Linked DNA regions of Tamandua tetradactyla. The protein of the gene in region 1 purifies or fractionates together with the protein of each later gene. This does not show direct contact. Links are inferred from orthologs where the notes say so. Each region holds a gene or a part of one and is shown on either strand. Other genes may lie near its edges.

Evidence for each region.
Region 2: the proteins of RUVBL1 (region 1) and H2AZ1 purify together in Homo sapiens (affinity purification with mass spectrometry; 6 studies listed by BioGRID and IntAct, with this or other methods). This does not show direct contact. The link is inferred for Tamandua tetradactyla from reciprocal best matches to the Homo sapiens genes RUVBL1 and H2AZ1.

The regions. Positions count from the first base shown.
Region 1 is NC_135335.1:30,900,195-30,909,797, reverse strand, and holds the start of RUVBL1 (ruvB-like 1), read left to right. Parts: upstream 1-4,146; 5' UTR 4,147-4,250; coding exon 4,251-4,391; intron 4,392-4,470; exon of another isoform or gene 4,471-4,496; intron 4,497-8,576; coding exon 8,577-8,663; intron 8,664-9,603. UniProt on the Homo sapiens protein: Possesses single-stranded DNA-stimulated ATPase and ATP-dependent DNA helicase (3' to 5') activity; hexamerization is thought to be critical for ATP hydrolysis and adjacent subunits in the ring-like structure contribute to the ATPase activity.
Region 2 is NC_135350.1:24,383,074-24,392,676, forward strand, and holds H2AZ1 (histone H2A.Z), read left to right. Parts: upstream 1-3,456; 5' UTR 3,457-3,638; coding exon 3,639-3,641; exon of another isoform or gene 3,642-3,845; intron 3,846-4,059; coding exon 4,060-4,137; intron 4,138-4,425; coding exon 4,426-4,539; intron 4,540-4,869; coding exon 4,870-4,999; intron 5,000-5,255; coding exon 5,256-5,317; 3' UTR 5,318-5,695; downstream 5,696-9,603. Other genes in the region: DNAJB14 (dnaJ homolog subfamily B member 14), read left to right, coding at 7,159-7,291. UniProt on the Homo sapiens protein: Variant histone H2A which replaces conventional H2A in a subset of nucleosomes. Nucleosomes wrap and compact DNA into chromatin, limiting DNA accessibility to the cellular machineries which require DNA as a template.

The DNA of each region.
Region 1 (9,603 bases):
CTGTAGCAGGAATAAAGAAGCTTAGCATGGAAACCAAGAGTTGAATCCCCATCTACCATCTTCCCTTTTTATGTAGGAATAGAATTTTTAGCTGGGCACATATCCATTCAGCTAAACACTACATTTCCCAGACTTCCTTGCAGCTAGTTGTAGCCATTTGATTAAATGCTGGCCAATAGAATGTGAGTTGAAATGATGGTGCAACATCAAAGTCAAGGTTCAAGGGAAGGAGCATGTCTTCCACTTTCCCCTTTCCTCTTTGATGACTCAAATGCAGTCCTTTGGCGGATAGGTGGAGCAGGCATCTTGGACCATGGGATGGAAATCTGTATGGGGAATGGCAGAGCAACAGGGTAGAAAGACCACAGGTCCATAATGATCATGGAGCTCGGGAACTAGTCAGAATGCTTTCCTGGACTTGATGTATGAAAACGTACTATCTATCTTGCTGACATTCCATTATTCTGGATTTCTCTGTTACTGCAGATGAACTAATACCCTAAGCAATGCACATTTAATAATTACTCCTTGGAGGAGGCAGCTCCAAGGGCTCAGCTGAGCTTGGAGACTGTGGAATGGCTCCAGGGGGCCTCTGGGTGATTTTTTCCTACCATAACCAGCAGCTCCTGTGAGTTAATGAAGAAGACAGAGAGGTAGGCTTGACCTGGGCTTGTGAGTTCAAAGGGCAGGCATGGCAGAAGTCAAGGAAAGGAGGTAGCAGAAAGGTTGAGAGGTGAGAGGCTAATTTGATTGATCTTAGGCTAGAGAAAAGAGGGGCTGAGGAACTGGAGATCAATGTACCAGGGTCTTGGGAGTGAGAGAATGAGAGCTGGCAGGCAGGATTGGTTGTCACAAAGAACAATTCTGGAATGTAATGGTCCACACAGTTAATTGTATTTATGTCAGTGCACTGATATGGATTTTTAATTGCTTCGAATAGAAAGTTAACTCAAACACTTTTTTTTCTTTTTGCATAGGCAGGCACGGGAATTGAATCAGGTCTCCGGCATGGCAGGCGAGAACTCTGCCGCTGAGCCACTGTGGCCCACCCAACTCAAACAATCTTAAGCCCCAAAGTGCAAAGTTACGTGGCAAGTAAGGCAGTTTGGATCCAAGAATGTAAATGATTTCATCAGGAGTTTCCTTCTCTCAGCTTTGCCTTCCTTTGTATTGGTTTCATTTTCAGGCAGGGGCTCCCCATGAAGTAGCCAAAGCTTCTCTCTTCTGAAATTCCCAGTATTGAAATACCAGGGCGAGGTGGGTGGGATATTCTGATAAGCCAGGTCTAGGCACTCCTAGAAATAAAGGTAGGGGGTGGAGTGGGATCAGCCCCAAACTACTGGGTCTACAGTGGGGGAAGACGGGATTCCTAAAGAAAATGAGAGTCATGGTACCACAAGAAGAGGGGATGGATGCTGGTAAAATAACCATTGTGGTAGTCAGATTCAGGTGTCAACTTGGCCAGGTGAAGCACCTAGTTCTGTTGCTGTGGCTATGAGCCAATGGCATGTGAGCCTCATCTGTTGCTGATTCCATCTGCAGTTGGCTAGGAGGCGTGCCTGCTGCAATGAATGATGTTTGATTTAGTTGGTTGGTGCTTAAATGAGTGAGCTCAATGTAGCACATCCCATGCAGCTAAGCATACCTCATCTTGGCACTCGCAGCTCAGCCCACACCTTTGGAGCTGTAGAAACGAATCATCCCAGGGAACTTGTTGGAATGCTGAGGCCTGGAGAGAAGGCCAGCAGAGATGGCTTTGTGACTTCCCATGTGAGAAAGAACCTCAGTTGAAAGTTAGCTGCCTTTCCTCTGAAGAACTATACATTAACTAAATAAATCTCCTTTTATTGAAAGCCAATCCATCTCTGGTGTGTCGCATTCTGGCAGCTAGCAAACTAGAACACCCATGTTCACTGATGTAGGCCTCACCTGCTCTTCATGTTCAGCACATTGTATATCTCGGATTCTGTTCTGCTGCAGTTGAAATGAAAAGGAACCAGGTCCAGGATCTTTTCAAAACACTGTGAGTGAGAGAGTCTAGGCTCCAGGATTTGGTTGTTCTGTGACGTTGGGCAACCCCCATTCCTTTTTGGAGTCTCAGTTTCCCCACCTGTAAAATGAGGTCGCTTGGCCATATCAGCAATTTTTGAATAATTCTTTAGCAGTAAAATGAATGGAACAGTTCTGGTGTGGGGGGAGAGGGGCATGGAGCTGCTGTCATGCACTCTCAACCTTCCCCTTCCCCACTCCTACTGGCCACAAAAGAATACTACAACTACAAGGAGTGTGGTGTGAAAACCACTGGACCAAGTGGTCCCAAGGAGTCTTCAAACTTTAAGATTGATCCTTAGTTCTCTCCCATATTTGGCTGGAAGGAAATATTTCTCTTTGCTCAGTGCCAAAGAGACACAGTTTGGAGCCCCTTAAATGGATAAATGTAAAAACATCTTCCCCTACCTGAACAATACATAAAGGTGTCAGCCCACAGAGCACCTCACTTTGACAACTAGTTGGGGAAAAGGTTTCCTCTTCCACCTGGTGAAAGGAGTTGCTCATCTAAGAATCATGACTGAGAATAAGTCACTAAGATGCCAAACAACCTTGCAGGGTGTGTAAGGAGTCATGGCCCTAGGGTTGATGAATCACAGGCCACTGGTGACAAGCTCAGCCTTTCAAGGACTTATCTCTACTCTTTCAGGTTCTGAAAGTGCCAGAAAGCCCCATTCATGGACAGAAACCATCACCAAGTCTCATAAAACCCAGGCTGTAAAATTCATGCAGCAAAACTGCCTGAGTTCAAGTGTGTGTGCGGACTCTGGAACCTGGTTTGAGTTCATAGGAAGCCTTTAATTATAAGCCATGTTGTATGCTGGGCACTGAGGTTAAAAAGCAAAAAAACACAAATGCACCCTATGCTTTCATAATACCTGCAATTTAGTCTTTAGGGAGACAAACAACGACCCAATAATCATGCAAATAATTACAAATTTAGATTCAAAAGTTAGAAAGGAGAATATCAGGAGGTGTGACAGGGACTACTGCAGCTGGATTTTACTTCAACCTTAACACAGGCTCTGGAATCCCTCCCATTTTCACCTCAGTTTTCTCATCTGTAAAATGGCAACATATTATGTGCTTCTGAGAAGTCTCACCCACTTGTCAGGATTCAACCTAGCCATCATTACCTTCGTGATGCTTTTCCTGGCGCCCCAGGCTGTTTCAGGGGCCGCTGGTTCGCCCACCATCTGGTTGTATCTGTTCCAGCACATCTCACACTGCCTGTTTCCCAACCAGGGAGCAAATTCCTCAGGGGTAGAGATCTCATATCCCCAGTAAGTTGAAGAGTCTGGCTCACAGCAGAGGCTAACAAATGTTTGTTGAATGAATGGGAGTGCTTTGGGGAGGGGAAGTGGTGGTGGTGGTAGCGTTAAATGATGAACCTGACAGGAGATGCTCACTGGCTCATTACCCACCCTGGATGGGGATTGCCCAGGCCTTGAAGTCTGAAGTCCACAGCTGGAGTTTCGCTTTTGCCGATTATCTGATGTGTTTTTGGGCAGGCCATAGTACCTCTTTTAGCTTGCTTCTTCAGCTGGCTAGGAAACGATACTATCTTTCAGGGTTGCAGAGTTTGGAAACTGAAATATTATTCACTGTTTAAACGGGGAGAGAGTGGAGGCAAGAAGAGGGGTATAATTCCAAGGAGGCAATTTTGAGAAGAGGAAGGGTGGGAGGGCTTGGCTGAGCCGGTTTTCTCCCCAGGGTGATGCAAAGTAAAGTACCTGGCTTGGGAGTCAGAAGACTTTTACTAATCAAAAGTCAAAATTTTAAGCTTCGAGCCTCTCTTTTTCCACGCTAAAGCCGAGGTCATAAGCTGAATTTAGTAGAAGAGTGTGATGTCTAAATGCGATAATATACAATGACCCCAAAAGACGTCACGAAGAACAGCATGACGCTTAAACGCGAGGCCTCCCCGCGCCCCCCGCTCCGGAGCCGGGGCAGGAAGGGCCGGTGCCGGGGAATATACCCTAGAGACACAGCCGGAAGTGGGAGGGCGGAGCCCCACCGGCAGCCGCGATGGACACAGCCCTGATCCAATGGGAGAGCGGAGGCGTTCCTGTCTCCACCAATGGAGCACCGACCAAGGCGGGCCCTTATGCACCGCCCTAGTAACGGCCGCGTGGTAACCCGGGTGCCGGGCGTGTGGTGTTCGTCACTGGTGCTGGTTATCGACTCCCCGCGTCAACAAAATGAAGATTGAGGAGGTGAAAAGTACCACGAAGACGCAGCGCATCGCCTCCCACAGCCACGTAAAGGGGCTGGGGCTGGACGAGAGTGGCCTGGCCAAGCAGGCGGCTTCGGGGCTTGTGGGCCAGGAGAACGCGCGAGAGGTGTGGCTCGGGGGCCAGGGAGTGGGGGGCGCTGAGTTGGGCCACTGCTGCGAGGGACGCGCTGAAGAGGGCGGAGGGGGGGGTCTCGAGCCGTAGTTCCCGCAGGTGAAAATGGCCTTGGGGCGTGTGTGTGTGTGTGTGTGTGTGTGTGTGTGTACGGGGAAGGGGATGGACCGCACCGGGGCTAGGTGAGGGGTCTTCTCAGGAAACCAGGTAACGCCTCCCCACGGGGCGGTTGAATGTTTGACCTCATTGACAGCACCTATTGATTGAGCCCCCTACTCGGTGCCAGGCTCTGTTCCGATGCTGGTACACAACGGGGATCAAGGTAGATATGGTACCTGATTTCATGCAAAGAGTCCCTGCTCACATCTTAGTGGGGATGCAGACAGATGATAAATATGTAAACCAACAGGCAAACAGCAAAATTATTTTGGTAGGCAGGGGTCAGTTCCTGGAAGGCTTTGTCTGCTATGATAAGGAATTTGGATTTTACCTATTGGGAATGCAGTGGGAGTTTTAAGTGAGAAAGTGACCTAATTTAAAGAATCACTTTGGTTCCCAGGGCTTTGGAGTCGGAGGGAGAGAGGTGGGAATTATGCAGAGATCTCTGGTTTATCTGCTCCAAACATCCTTGCTAACCATTCCAGTCAAATCCACTTTTATGAGGTGGCTGTGATGCCTAGTCCTTTCACATACTTAGTAATCACAAATTATTCAAGCTCTTTTTTGCAGATTAAAAAACTGAGGGCTAGAGAGGTTACTTCACCCATCTACTTGCTACTCAGCCTAATATGGTAAAGCTAGAATTGTACCCAAGTGTGTGTCTCCCAAATCGATACACTCCTCTCTCTGGCCTCACAGCCACCATTTCAGCCTGCTGTTGCTGTAAGGAAAGGCATGCTTTCTGGCGTCTGCCGTGGTGTAGCAGCTCCAAGAAACCACCGTAAATATAAGGCCAAGACTGGTGCCTCCCCAGCCTGATTGTACTATAGAATGGGTGTAAAGAAAAGTCTCTGGTTTCCTTTTTTTTTTTTATGATCATTCTGTTCTATATATATAATCAGTAATTCACAATATCATCACATATTTGCATATTCATCATCATGATGTGGTTTCCATTTTGAGGACATCATCTTTGAGGTCAAGATGTCTTTTAATTTCTCTTTATTCAGTTTTGGCTTATTGAGGACCTGGTACTGCAAATAGCTAACGTTGGTTGGGTGCTTTCTTTGTGCCAAGCACTGTGCTCAGAAGCTTCATTTCCATCATCTTGCTCGTCTTCTAAACCCAAATATTAATCGCCCCTACCCCCCTGGGCTTTATCATGAGAAAATTCAGACATTCAGAGATACAGATTGATACTTGTGTAATGAATACCCTTGTGCCTAAATGCTACAATTAACATTTTGCTATATTGCTTTATCACATTTGTCCTGCTGTCCATCTACCAATTCTCTTTTGCATTTTGAAGTGAGTTGCAGACATCAATGCACTTTACCTCTCAACTCTTTAACGTGTATGCTTTTAACAGTTATGATTTTGCAGATGAGGAAATTGAGGTTCACAAAAGTTACCATGTGTAAGGCCACTCAGGTGGTAAGTGATAGCGCCAGGATTTAAACCCAACTCTGTCTGACCACAGAATCCATGCTTTTATTTGTGGTGTTCTATTTTTAGATATGACTGTGAGCTTCATTAGGACACAGACCATGTAATATTTATTACATATGCAGAACCTTGTTCATTACAGGTACTCAGTATTTGTTTATTGAATTAATAGGTACTGAAAACCCACCTCAGCTATCAGGTCCTTGTATGACTATGGTCATGTCAGCAGCCTCCCGAGTGCATAAGAGCTTCATCTGAAAAACGAGAGCGTTAAATTAGGCGATCTCTTAAAGGCCTTTCCTGTTCTTATTAAATTTTTGATTCATTGAACATACCTAACTGGAGAGAAGTTGGACCTTAAACTGGGAGAATGCTGATTAAATGGAAAAGGTCTTGGTCTTATATCTCCAAGGTTTCAAAAGTCTTTCTTGCCTTTTTTTGAGGTTCCCAAAGATTTTCAGTGCTTTAGGATTATGATATCACAAGGTTGTGTAGAAAGATCATAATGGCTTGTTTTGATCTTATAGGAAATGCATTATCTGAAGAACAACTTCTGGGCTCTGTTAAGGCCACTGCACTTTGCTGAGCCAGAAGTAGAATACAGCATACCTACATACATTTTTGTGGGGTGGCTGTGGGACAAAGTACTTCTCCACAGGCCACGGGGATTAAAGAAAAGAGATGTGGACCCTATCCCAGAGAGCTACCTAGTGATAGAGGAGATAAAGATGTGTTCACAAGACCTGTCAGTAGGGGGCAGTGGTCTCTACCTAGGGAGAAGAGAATGCACCTTTTAGTTAATAATATATTACTTTATTCTTTCGCTGGTAGAAACTTGTATCATGTAGTCCTTGACATATAGACATTCAATAAATGCCACTTTCCCAGCTTTCCTTCTTTATAGTCAACTGTTCTAAAATATATAGAGCTCAGTAACCCATTTATGGAATATGAATATATAGTAAAGGGCTTAATATCCAGAGGATTAAAATTATTTAAAATATACTAACACTAAACACTAAGATTAATCTTGAGAATTCAAAAGGCACTTGAAAGAATCTTATGGTTCCATTGTTTTGACCTCAAGTGCAGCATTGCCAATTGATTTGCAGTTTCTGGGATAGTCCACTGATGGCCAGCTAGTAGTATTTGTCATTAATTCCTTTTTTTTTTTTTGGTGCCAAAACCCAGGAACAAACCATGTGTGCCATTGATTCTTAACTCTTAGTAGATTACTTTGAGAATCCAATAAAAGCTGTGACTTCTCTTCCTTGAGAAATGCATGTATGAACATAAACACAGATTTTTGTCTCGAGTTTCAAGAGGCGAGTGGGAATCTATCTGTGGGTCCCAGCCTAAAAGTCTCTACTTCCACTTGTTCCCCTACTGCCCATTCTCCACATTGCAGCCAACATGATCTTTTTGTACTTAGTCTTTTTTTTTTCAGGTACCTATTTTTTTTTTATCGTGAAATATAACGTATATTCAAAAAAACAATGTGTTTCAAAGCATACCACAACTATTAGTTATAGAACAAATTTCAGAGTTTGGTATGGGTTACAATTCCACAAGTTTAGATTTTTCCTTCTAGCTGTTCCAAGACACTGGAGACTAAAAGAAATATTGATACAGTCATTCAGCACTCATACTCATTTCTTAAATCCTGTCTTCTCTATTATAACTCCTCCTTCTCCTTTGATCATTCTCCCAATTTTTAGGGGTTTTTGGACTATGCCCATTTTAATTTTTTATGTTGGAAAATGCTGACAACAATATGGGATGGGGAATGGAAGTAGTTGATATTCTGGAGAGGCTGACCCCTCTGGGTTTCAGGATTTATCTGGCCTAGGAACCCATCTGGAGGTTGTAGGTTTCTGGAAAATAATCCTAGTTCATAGAACTTTTGTAGACTCTCAGATAGAGCCCTGGGTATCCCTTAAGGTTTGCAGGAAGGTTTTGGTTGGGGTTTGGCAAATCATGGTAAATAGGAGTATCCTGGCTGAAGCTTGCATAAGAGTAGCCTCTAGAAGAGCCTCTTGGCTCTATTTGAACTCTCGGCCACTGATACCATTTGTTACAGTTCTTTTCCCCTGTTTGGTCAGGTAGGCATTGTTGATCCCATAGTGCCAGTGCCAGACTCATCCCTGGGATTCGTATCCCATGTTGCCAGGGAGACTTTCACCCCTAAACAGCATGATCTTTTAAGAACATAAATCATAATGACACATAGCCTAAGGCCTTTTCATTAGTTTCTTATTGCACATAGAATAAAATTCAAACTTTACTCCAAATTATAAGAACCTATTACAAGTTTTGGCTCTTGCCCAGCTCTTCAACCTCATCTTCCCATTCTTATTCAGTGTTTAGGCATCTGTTTTTCTTCTCCACTAGAACGTGAGCTCCAAAACTACAAAGCATTTCTGTCTTGTTCACTCCTGCCTCCCACACCTAGAATGATTCCTACAGCTTACTGGCACTCAGTTGAGTGAATATATGTGAATTGTATGGACCAGAGACTGGATATTTTTCCCCTGTGAAATGTTTTAATATTGATTTATTATTTCTGGTGTGTAGGCATGTGGCGTGATAGTTGAATTAATCAAAAGCAAGAAAATGGCTGGAAGAGCTGTCTTGTTGGCAGGACCTCCTGGAACTGGCAAGGTACTCATTTTCTCTCATTTTTTTAATCTAACCAAGAAAGTAATCAGAATGTCTAAGCCAAATTAAACTCATGTCTTAACTAGTCTTTATTTAGCCAAATAGGTTATGTGTATGTTTTTTGATCTAATGTGCAGTAATACAATTGAGTACCTAAAATCCATGCTTCTAAAATTCAAATTATCTTGGCCAGCCTCAAGGAAAGTGAGAGTGAAGGCCTCATAGGGGGTTCATTGTCTCTAAAACTTGCCCTTTATCTCAAGTTGCATTTGCTTTGAAATATATTTCTGTTGGTCTAGAGCTTCATAACGTCTTGGGAGTGACATCTTTTTCTTAACTTTTTACTTTGAAATAACTTCAGACTCTCATAGGACAGTAGCAAAAATAATATAAAACCCATCCAGAGAACTCTAGCATACCCCCCCACCCTACCACCAGATGTCCAGATCCACCAATTTTAGCATTTATACTACCTTTGCTATTTCTTTCTTCTTCTTTCCCTCCCTGCCCCTCTCTCTCCCTCCCTCCCTTCCTTCATGTATGTATGTATGTATGTATGTATCTGTTTATCTAGCTATCTGTTTTTTTGAACATTTGAGAGTAGGTTGTACATATAATACACCCTGAGCACGTAATACTGCCATGTATATTTCCTGTGAATCACCTTAACTGCAGTTTTCAAGTTCAAGAGTTTTAACATTGATATAAAGCTTATAGTCTGTTTTCCATTTTTTTCTTGTCTCAATAATGCCATTTTTTCAAAAAACTTTTTTTATTGTAAAGTATAACATGTGAGCAAATCAAAGCAAAGAAAAAGCAATAATTTTCAAAGCACACTTCAATAAGTAGTTACAGAACAGATCCCAGAGTTTTGTGGTCTATCATTCCACTATCTCAGATTTTCCCCCTCCTTATTGCTCCAAAATGTTGGAGGCTCGAAGGA
Region 2 (9,603 bases), on another chromosome or scaffold:
ACGGCACTTAAGCTTCTTGTTTGAAGCCTTAAGCCCATCCCTTTCATCCCTTAATGTAGGCAGTGTATCTAACAACAACCAACCAACATCTCTATAACTCTTACTTCTACAAAACTCTGTAAAGGTGTCAAAAACATTATCCCCGAGTCTGGCTTCGTATAAGCGAAGCATTAGGAGAATTGAATGATGATATTTTGACTATCTCCTTTGCCAACTCAGTCCATGGATTGGGAGTGTCATTCTGATTACGAGAATCAGAGTCCTTAGTGTCTCTGGGTCCAGTCAGAGTAGAAAACCATTCATAAAAACCCATTTTTAAGATTCTGTTTCTTAAGAACCACTCCTGGTACCAAGATGTATTAGTTAGGGTTCTCTAGAGCAACAGAATCAACAGGGAACACTCGCAAATATAAAATTTATAAAAATGTCTCACGTGACCGCAGGAACGCAGAGTTTCACAGGGCAGGCTGTGAAACTGATGACTCTGATGGATGGTCTGGATGAACTCTACAGGAGAGGCTCATCAGCCGAAGCAGGAATGGGACCTGTCTCCTCTGAGTCTTCCTTAAAAGGCTTAAAAGGCTTCCCGTGAATTGAATGTATGTAATCTGTGATCCTGGAAAGTACAAAGTTGGGCAATATGGAATTCAAACTCATGACCTTGGCTTCATCAACACTGAACTAAACAGCATGGGCTTCTCTTAACATAATCATATTTATGTGTAGAATTTGGGGAGAACTACAGCCTTTGTGTCACAAAAGTTAATATACCACCCCATATATTCTTCACACTCTGTGAAACCCTTTCACAATTTTATGAGGTTGGCTTATCTGCTGCTATGTATACCTATTTAATAATAATGAGTGGCTGAGTCTGACTCAACCCAAGTTCTTTTATTCTGGGTAAATATTTTGTATTATACCATGCTGGAACTCAGTTATTGACGACTAGTCAGTCTTTGAAGGTACATTCTTTCCACGATGCCCTAAGTACAAAGAACCAAAATTCTAATTTGGATTTCCTCAGAAGTATTCTGCCATTATCTATCTAGGCTAACATCTTTGAAATAGCTGGAAAGTCTCTTCATATTTATCGCCCAAAAAAAGGTGTTTAAAGAAAGATGTGTTTGAGAAATCAGAAATTTCCAAGTATGGGATGATCTCTCGAATTCTCTACATAAAAAGTCAAAACCAACAGTAGTTGCTAGTTGCTAGTGTTTGAGAGGAGATAGTAATTAGTTGTAGAGTGTCTGGCTGAAGTAGAAAAAAAGCTATTAAGGAAAAAGGCAATAATATTAAGACCATATAATTCATATTATTAATTTTTTTCACTATTAGCATTTATTAAGTAACTTATTGGATATGGCATTAAAAATTATGTAACTATGACTACATTACATATGTATTAGCATGAACACAAGTACTAGAGAGATAAGAGGATTAATATTTTTGCATCATGGTTTTCTCCAGGACAGGAAAAGGGGTAGGAAACCATCACATAACTGCTATGAAAAGGGAAGAAATCATTATTGTTCCATTCACTTCAGGAAGAGGAAAACTGTTGAGTGTACTAAACCAATTTCAGATTTTAGATGATCTGGTTGAGTTTATCTTGAATAGGTTTCAAATTTTGCTGATTCTACATCCAAGGAATACCATTTATTACACAGGAAAAAATATTTAGGAATCAAAGATACTTTAAAGATTATTTCATCCAGCCAATGTAGAAGATAATAGTTATCGTTTACTGAGTGCCAGTTACTGTGTGCCAAACACATGCTACTGTGTACCTTGCAAACCTTTTTCCATATTTCAATAATCACATGAAACTAGGTGCTACCATAGCCACTTGGCAGAGGCTTCAACAGTTAGTAACTAAGATCATACTGTGAGGAGGAGGTAGAGCAAACTTTAAGTCTTCCAGCTCTTGAGCTCAATCACTCAATAACTAAATAACCACTATTTAGTGAAGCAAGAGCAAATTTCTTTAGCTGGGTCTCTGACGGCAAAGATCACATAGAGTAATCTCTAAACTGGATAAGGTATTAATGTTGCCTCGGATTTCCTGACGCTTCAATTGAGCTCAAACTAACTACTTCAGGTTTCTTAGCTTTTGACTGTTATTACATCAATTAAGTGGGGGAACTGACTGACTCTTGCTATTAATAACATCATAAGAACCCCTGGGTCCCCAGGGGGAGAAATAATAAAAAAGGACCTTCTCAAAATCGTTGGGAAACCATTTTCTAGGGTTTATCTCCCAGAAATAGGGAGTTTCTCTAATCTTATAAACTCTTTCAAATTGAAAGTCAATCCAAAGTACTTTAGAGTATATACGTTGAATCTGACTATCCAATTTTGTCAAAAAAATAATAAACTATTAAACATTGTAAATGTGAGTTGCTATCACTTGTTCACAAGCTGCTGGAGATGTACACAGGTGTTACCAATTTATTAGCTGGAAGATTAAGTAGCTGGCATTATGATAGTACTTTGTGTACCGCACTATTTTTTAAGCCCACCATTTGCAACTGATTACATGGACCATCTGTAACTGACTGTGAATCATGAAGAGTTCCCCTACTGGCATTTACTGAATATTTGTAGCAAAATGTTGTGTAAAAAAAGTTGACACTTAACAGTTTTAAGGTTTCACTAAATCAACTTTAAATAACAAGTTATGGGTACAATTCATTCATGCGTAGTCTCCAGAAAAATGTTAAAGTTTCTGATTTGATTAAAGAATACCGCCTCACCCCCAAGCCTCCTGTGAGGTGGACAAAAAAGGTTTTGAGTCCAGTGAAGTGCGGTTGTTCAACTGTTTGTACCCACGGAACTAAGCGGGGGTGGATTCAAAAGTGGTGAGGAAAGAGCGGGTGGAATACAGCTGAAAACGCAGAGGGAGCTGCGGGTCTCGCCTAGGAGAAATAACTGGAAGTTTATGCCTCGCGGAGCGGGACAGACCACGGGACTTCTTCTACAGGATGCGTTTACGCTACCTGTCTGACAGGAGTAGCAGCCTGGGATGCGAAGGGGGCGAAGAAGAGGGCGCCCGGGTTCCCGAAAGAAAGCTGCGCTATGCTGGCGTGCACCGTCCGGAGCAATAGAGTACACAAGGCCTGGAGGAGCTTTCACGTGGTCTCCAGAGCTCTGCTGGGGGTTTACGAAGGGGGTGGTACTGCCTGCCTCTCCCCTGAATCCCTCAGCCCCTCCTCCCGACACGTGACCGCGACCCGCTGGTCCCTGAGCTCCTGCAGCGTAGCTCGCTCTGTTTCTTCCCTCCCGCCGCTGTGTCCTTCTTCTCCCCAGTTGCCGTCCCTCCGCCCTCCCCCACCTCTCGCTTCACACGCCCCAATCGCGGCTCGAGTTGCGAAGCACCCGCCCCTCCGTCCTTTTCTTGGCCTTATCATTGGCTGAGACCTCAAGGACGCGTCCCGAGGGCGGGTGGCAGCCATTGGTGCGATGAGCAATCCGAGTTCCCGGATGAGGGAACATTCTGCAGTATAAAGGGAGCGGGGAAGGCGGGAGACAGCGCAGTTTGAATCGCGGTGCGACGAAGGAGTAGGCGGCTGGGCTTCGCTGGGGGTTTGACTAGCCCTTTCTCTGCCTTGTTTGTTTGAGCTACAGCAGAATTCGAAATGGTAAACTTAGCAGAAGAGCTTGACGACTCCGCGGGTTTTTGCCAGTGGGAGTAAGATCCGTTATACACGGGGATGGGGTGAAGTGGCGGCTGTTGGGAACGCGCGGAGACAGGATTTAGAAGATCTGGGGGAGGTGTTTTGTCGGCAGCAAGCGGAGCAGCCTCGGATCTCGTGGCGGGCGGCGACGGTTAGGTCGCGCGCGCAGGGCCACTGGGGGCGGGCGGGCGGAGGCGCGCGGCCGCGAAGAGCGCGCGGCGGGGGGCCGGCGGGCGGGGTCGCCCCCGCGGCGCGGCGGGCCGGAGACCCCAGCGGGGCCGCGCTCGCGCCCGGGTTGCGTTGCCGTGGGGGAGGGGCGCGTCGCCCTGGTAATCCTATATTCTGCGTTCCTCCTCCGCTTTCGGGCGTGTGCGCGCCGCAGGCTGGCGGTAAGGCTGGGAAGGACTCCGGAAAGGCCAAGACAAAGGCGGTTTCCCGCTCGCAGAGAGCCGGCTTGCAGGTCAGTGGATGTTCGTGCAGTGTTAGAATCGTGACCTTTTTCCTTGCACCTCGTTTCTCGTTTGTCACCGCTCTGTGGTGTTTTGTCTGTTCAGGAGAGATGTGGTGTCGCGACTTGGGTTGCCGATATGATAAATATGGGGGGGGGGGAGCCGATCACGCGTGTCGATCCTGGGGCGTGTTGCTGCACCAGCGTAGCCCGTAATCATTGCTTTGGTGCTTGTATAATTTTTCCGTCTTTGACACTTACATCTTTGTGCATTTATGTTTGTGTGTGCTTACGATTAAGTTTCCGGTGGGCCGTATTCATCGACATCTGAAATCTAGGACGACCAGCCATGGGCGTGTGGGCGCGACTGCCGCTGTATACAGCGCAGCCATCCTGGAGTACCTCACCGCAGAGGTAAATGGGTGTATACCTGTAATCTGGGAAAGGTTTTGGTTAGGGGGGGAGGAAAGGAAAGGAGGAAAGTGATGCAAGAAAACTCCCAGGCCGTAAACCCAGCGAGAAGCCTCTCAGAACGCTAGAGGGAGCTGGTGTTCAATAAGGGATCCTGTTGGGCTTGAGTTTGCAGCTCTTGGAAATAATTGGTTGCCCCCTCTGTAGTTTTTGTTTTATCTTGCCATTCAGGTAGTCGGGGAACGATGACAATGGGTAGATCTACATTCACGAAGGTTTAATTTTGCTTTCTGGGTCTTGGCCGAAGGAGATTGATTAGATTCTGCCTTCTAGGTACTTGAACTGGCAGGAAACGCATCGAAAGATTTAAAGGTAAAGCGTATTACCCCTCGTCATTTGCAACTTGCTATTCGTGGAGATGAAGAATTGGACTCTCTGATCAAGGCTACAATTGCTGGGGGTGGTATGTAACTAAAACTTTAAAATGCTTTAGAGAAAAAAAATTCTCTTCTAGTTTAAGAGGACACATTTTTATTGATGCAGTGTGGTCGTATATCGTGAAATTTGATTTATGATATGTAACTTAAAATGCATTTTTATTTGAGTGTCACGTTTTAAAGACATTTTAAGTTGAACTGTACAGTGCCTTCATTTTAAGTACTGTGTGACTTTTTAAAATATGTAGATTAAAGTAAAATTAATCCCTGTCACTCTCCTAGGTGTCATTCCACATATCCACAAATCTCTGATTGGGAAGAAAGGACAACAGAAGACTGTCTAAAGGATGCCTGGATTCCTTATTATCTCAGGACTCTAAATACTCTAACAGCTGTCCAGTGTTGGTGATTCCAGTGGACTGTATCTCTGTGAAAAACACAATTTTGCCTTTTTGTAATTCTATTTGAGCAAGTTGGAAGTTTAATTCGCTTTCCAACCAACCAAATTTCTGCATTTGAGTCTTAACCATATTTAAGTGTTACTGTGGCTTCAAAGAAGCTATTGATTCTGAAGTAGTGGGTTTTGATTGAGTTGACTGTTTTTAAAAAACTGTTTGGATTTTAATTGTGATGCAGAAGTTATAGTAACAAACATTTGGTTTTGTACAGACATTATTTCCACTCTGGTGGATAAGCTCAATAAAGGTCATATCCCAACCTAATTGTGTTTTAAATTTGCTTGATTGTAATGGGAACTTATATTTTGAATAGGCAACTCATCCAACGACATAACTAAGCACATTTTCTTCCCTTCAAATTACATTAATTCTGTAGTTCAAAGCAGATGGTTCAACTAAAATTGTTTTAAGGTTATGTAATCAGCTTTGTAAGGTTTTTAAACTGGCAGGAGTTCCTGCAGTAGGATATGATACTGTGATTTTTAGATTAAGGTTTGGCCATCTGTACATCGAGTGGTCTATGTGACACTATTACACCAGTGCACTATTTACTTTGGTGGGCTGGGGAGGGAAGTAGGGAAATCTTGAATACAGCAGTTTCCACAGAATTAACTTGACGTTTAGACTTCAAAGATAATAACAGTGTCCTTTTTGAGTGCTAGACACTTTTTAATAAGGTCTATAATAACATTTGAGGAGATACGTTACCCCTTTTTATACAAGAAAACTAGAATTTCTTTGAAAGTGGGCTATGGTTCATTCAGCATGGCTAAGTTAAATCAACATAGAAAATGGATCGTTAGTGACTGGATTAAGTGGGTCATTTTGACACGTGGCTTCTGGCAAGTTACTCAGAAAATGTAAAATTTGGATATAGACATTATAAAACAATGGCAATCCCCCAAGAGATCGATATGACATTTGATGTCATCAGTATGACATTTTATGATAGTAATAAAAATGAAAAAGGGGAGAAAACCAAGAAGTCTCTTGTGATGGTGAGGCGTTTGTGAAAGGGCTGGTTCCTGCTTTGTTTTGGTCACGAGAACAGGACAGTGCTTTTCATGAGAAAAGTACAAAGAAAACAATGTTTCTTGTCTAATTGGTCCGACAATCTAATAGTGTCTGGGTCTGAAAGGTGTAGGTAAAATAAACAGGCTGTAAAGCGAGCCCCGGGTTGGGAGTCACACGACGCACTAACATTTATGAACAGTGCGGTTAGTGTTTCGCGGGGACTGGCTGCGTCTGCACCTGACTGGATGCTCCACCGCTAAGGTGGCCCAGAGGGAGAGCCTTCGTCGTGCCCAGGGAGTTATACTGAAAATGAGAATCCCCTCAGTCCCATCACATCACCCTGACCTCCCGAAAGCCTGGTTTGGGTCTGCGGAAGTCGCGGCCGGAGGTCAGGGGTCCGGGATCCGCGGAACGCGCCCTCCATCCGGGTAGCTTAGCTAGTATCGCCCGCCCTCCCGCTTCCTGGGGTTGGGAACCTGTAGGTGCCGCGCACCGGTCGCCGAGTCCCGGGCCAGGAGGGATGCGGTCTTGGCCGTAGCTGCCCGCAGGGGGCGGGAAGACCACCGTGAGGAGGCGGAGCTGCGAAGCCCGCCCTCAGCCCGGGCCGCAGCCTCGGTCCTCTGCGCTCCTCCCAGTTCTCCGCACGCCCCCGCCCCGGCGGCTTCCGCCCCTGGTAGCTGCGCTGCCAGAGGAAACGGAAGGAGGCACAAGCCATGGAGGGGAATCGGGATGAGGCGGAGAAATGTGTCGAGATCGCCAGGGAGGCCTTGAACGCCGGCAACCGCGAGAAGGCCCAGCGCTTCCTGCAGAAGGCCGAGAAGCTCTACCCACTGCCCTCGGCCCGCGGTGAGGACCTCAGCGTCCCTCCCCTCCCTGCCCATCCCTAGACCACCGAGTAGCCCGTCCGCTGCCCCCGCCATTGCCCCTCAGGGAGCCGGCGAGACCCCGGCCTGCTCTGTCCTGCCGCGGGGCACTGGGGAGGAGTGTCCCGACACACCCCCCGCCCCAGGTCCAGCCCCAGCCCGGCCTCCCTGGGCCGGGCTCGGGGTGGGTAAACGGAGTCCCTCTCTGCACCAGCCTGCCTGCGGGTCGCAGGCTCCGAGCTGACAGGCGAGAGTTGCTGGCTCTCGGGTCGGTTTTCGTAAATGTACTCGCGCTCATCCTCTGGGAGGAAATTTGTCGGATGCTCTCTTACCGGAGGGGGATGCTTTGAATCTAAGTGTTTAGTTGTGGGGCCCCTTCCCTCCCCAACTCACCCCCAAATAAGGCCTAGGCCCCAAATGAAGTGAGAGAAACAGGGAACTCTAGTGGCTAATTTATAGATCTCAGGTTCCACCATCTCTGGAGTCGAAAGCTATTCCCAAAGCGAACATTTCCAAATACCTTGGATGACATTATTTTTCCCTGGGAAAGAGCGTAGAGAGGAGCATACATTTGGCAGGAATGATCAAGAGTCAGTAATGATTTGCTAAATAGTATCTGAGTTGATAACACCATAATTGTCAAAAAATTAGACAAAACTCTTAGGAACACAATACTTCCTTCAGTTGAAGTCACAGTGTTCATTTTCCTCCTTGCTAGGCTTAAAGGTAATAATAATAGCCAACATTTATTGAGCACTACAAAGTGCCAAGTATTGTCAGGCATTTCAGGTGAATTATTTCATTTACTCCTCAGAATAAACCTATGTAGAGGTACAGGCTTCGTTTGGCGATGTGGAGGCAGACTTTTCAAGGATTGAATGAACGAATGAATGAAAATGTCTTATCCAAGGTCTCACAGTATGGCAAAGTCAGAATAGTACTTGAGCTGTCAGACTCCAAAAGGTCCAGAAACACTACACTCTATTATCTTGCCAATAGATGCTATTTTACTTGAGGTTTAAAGTATTTTCAAGTTAAGAAGAAAATTATTGATATCTGAATAAGAATGTAGGGCTCCCTTTTTAACTTTATTTCCGATGTTATTGAAGCACTTACGCTTTCTGCTTTTCTGTCTCTCCCGTAAATTGCCTTTGATCACTCTACCAGGGAGGACAGGAAAGGGAAGAGAAGGAAAAAAAAGGCATGAATAAGTTTTTAATTCCTCCGCTGTATGAATATATGGTTTCAATTAACCATTATCTAGTCTTAGAGAAACAGTTTTGACAATAAACTTTTTGGCATTACCGATAGAATACCTTGATTTTGAAGCCTGGTTCCTTACTTAGTAGTTTGTAACCTTCTGTTCTTGGGAAAGTTAGGGAACCTCTCTAGCCTTTGGCTTTTTCATCTCTTGAGTGGAAACAACAGTGTATTGATCTCATACTGCTTTTGTAAGGATTGAAATGGTTAATACAGGTAAGCCATTTAACAGTAAGCACTCAGTTTTGGTGTCATCTCCATTTTACATGTGTGAGTCTCTGAAAAATTTTAAAGCCTGTCAAAACTTACACAATTTGCCATTATTCTGTCATAAAAGCAACTTGAACCAACCTGCTAATGGACACTAAAACATATCAAAGCACAATTATTGGTCTTAAAAACATAAACAGAAGAAAAAATTATGAGCAAAAATCAGTAGCACAAATGTATTGTGAGGCAGTATGTGATTACCAAATAAAGAGATAGGAAAGGTACATTTGTGTTACGTGATGAAAACAGTTCAGATAGTCTTTACCTCTTAACAGCTCTGTAATCAAGGACAAGTCACTTAGCTTCTCTAAGCCTTGTTGAGTTATATGTAAAATGAAGATGTCCTCACAGGATTGATGTGAACATTAGCTGAAATAAGGTATGTGCAATACTTAATAAAGTCTATGTTACATAGAAAGTGCTCAGAAGATTTATTGAAATAATTTAAGAATTCAGGGAGGGAAATATCTAGAACGTTTGTGTAAGATATGATAAAAGGTTTGGTGTTGACGGAAATTGAAGTTATTGGTTACACTGAGATTTAAAAGTTTTATTCCTGAATTTCACCTAATTAGACTACCACCAAATCTTTATAACTCAGAAAGTTAACTGAATGTTCTTCTGGATGTGTTTTCATACTAACATAGGCTAAAGTAAACAGTGTGTTTTGATTTCCATTATTCTTTTGTAGTGAATGGAAAAATGTGAGGCTAAAAGAGCTCAATTCTAGGATATTTATGCTTATAATTTTATTCTTGCCAATTT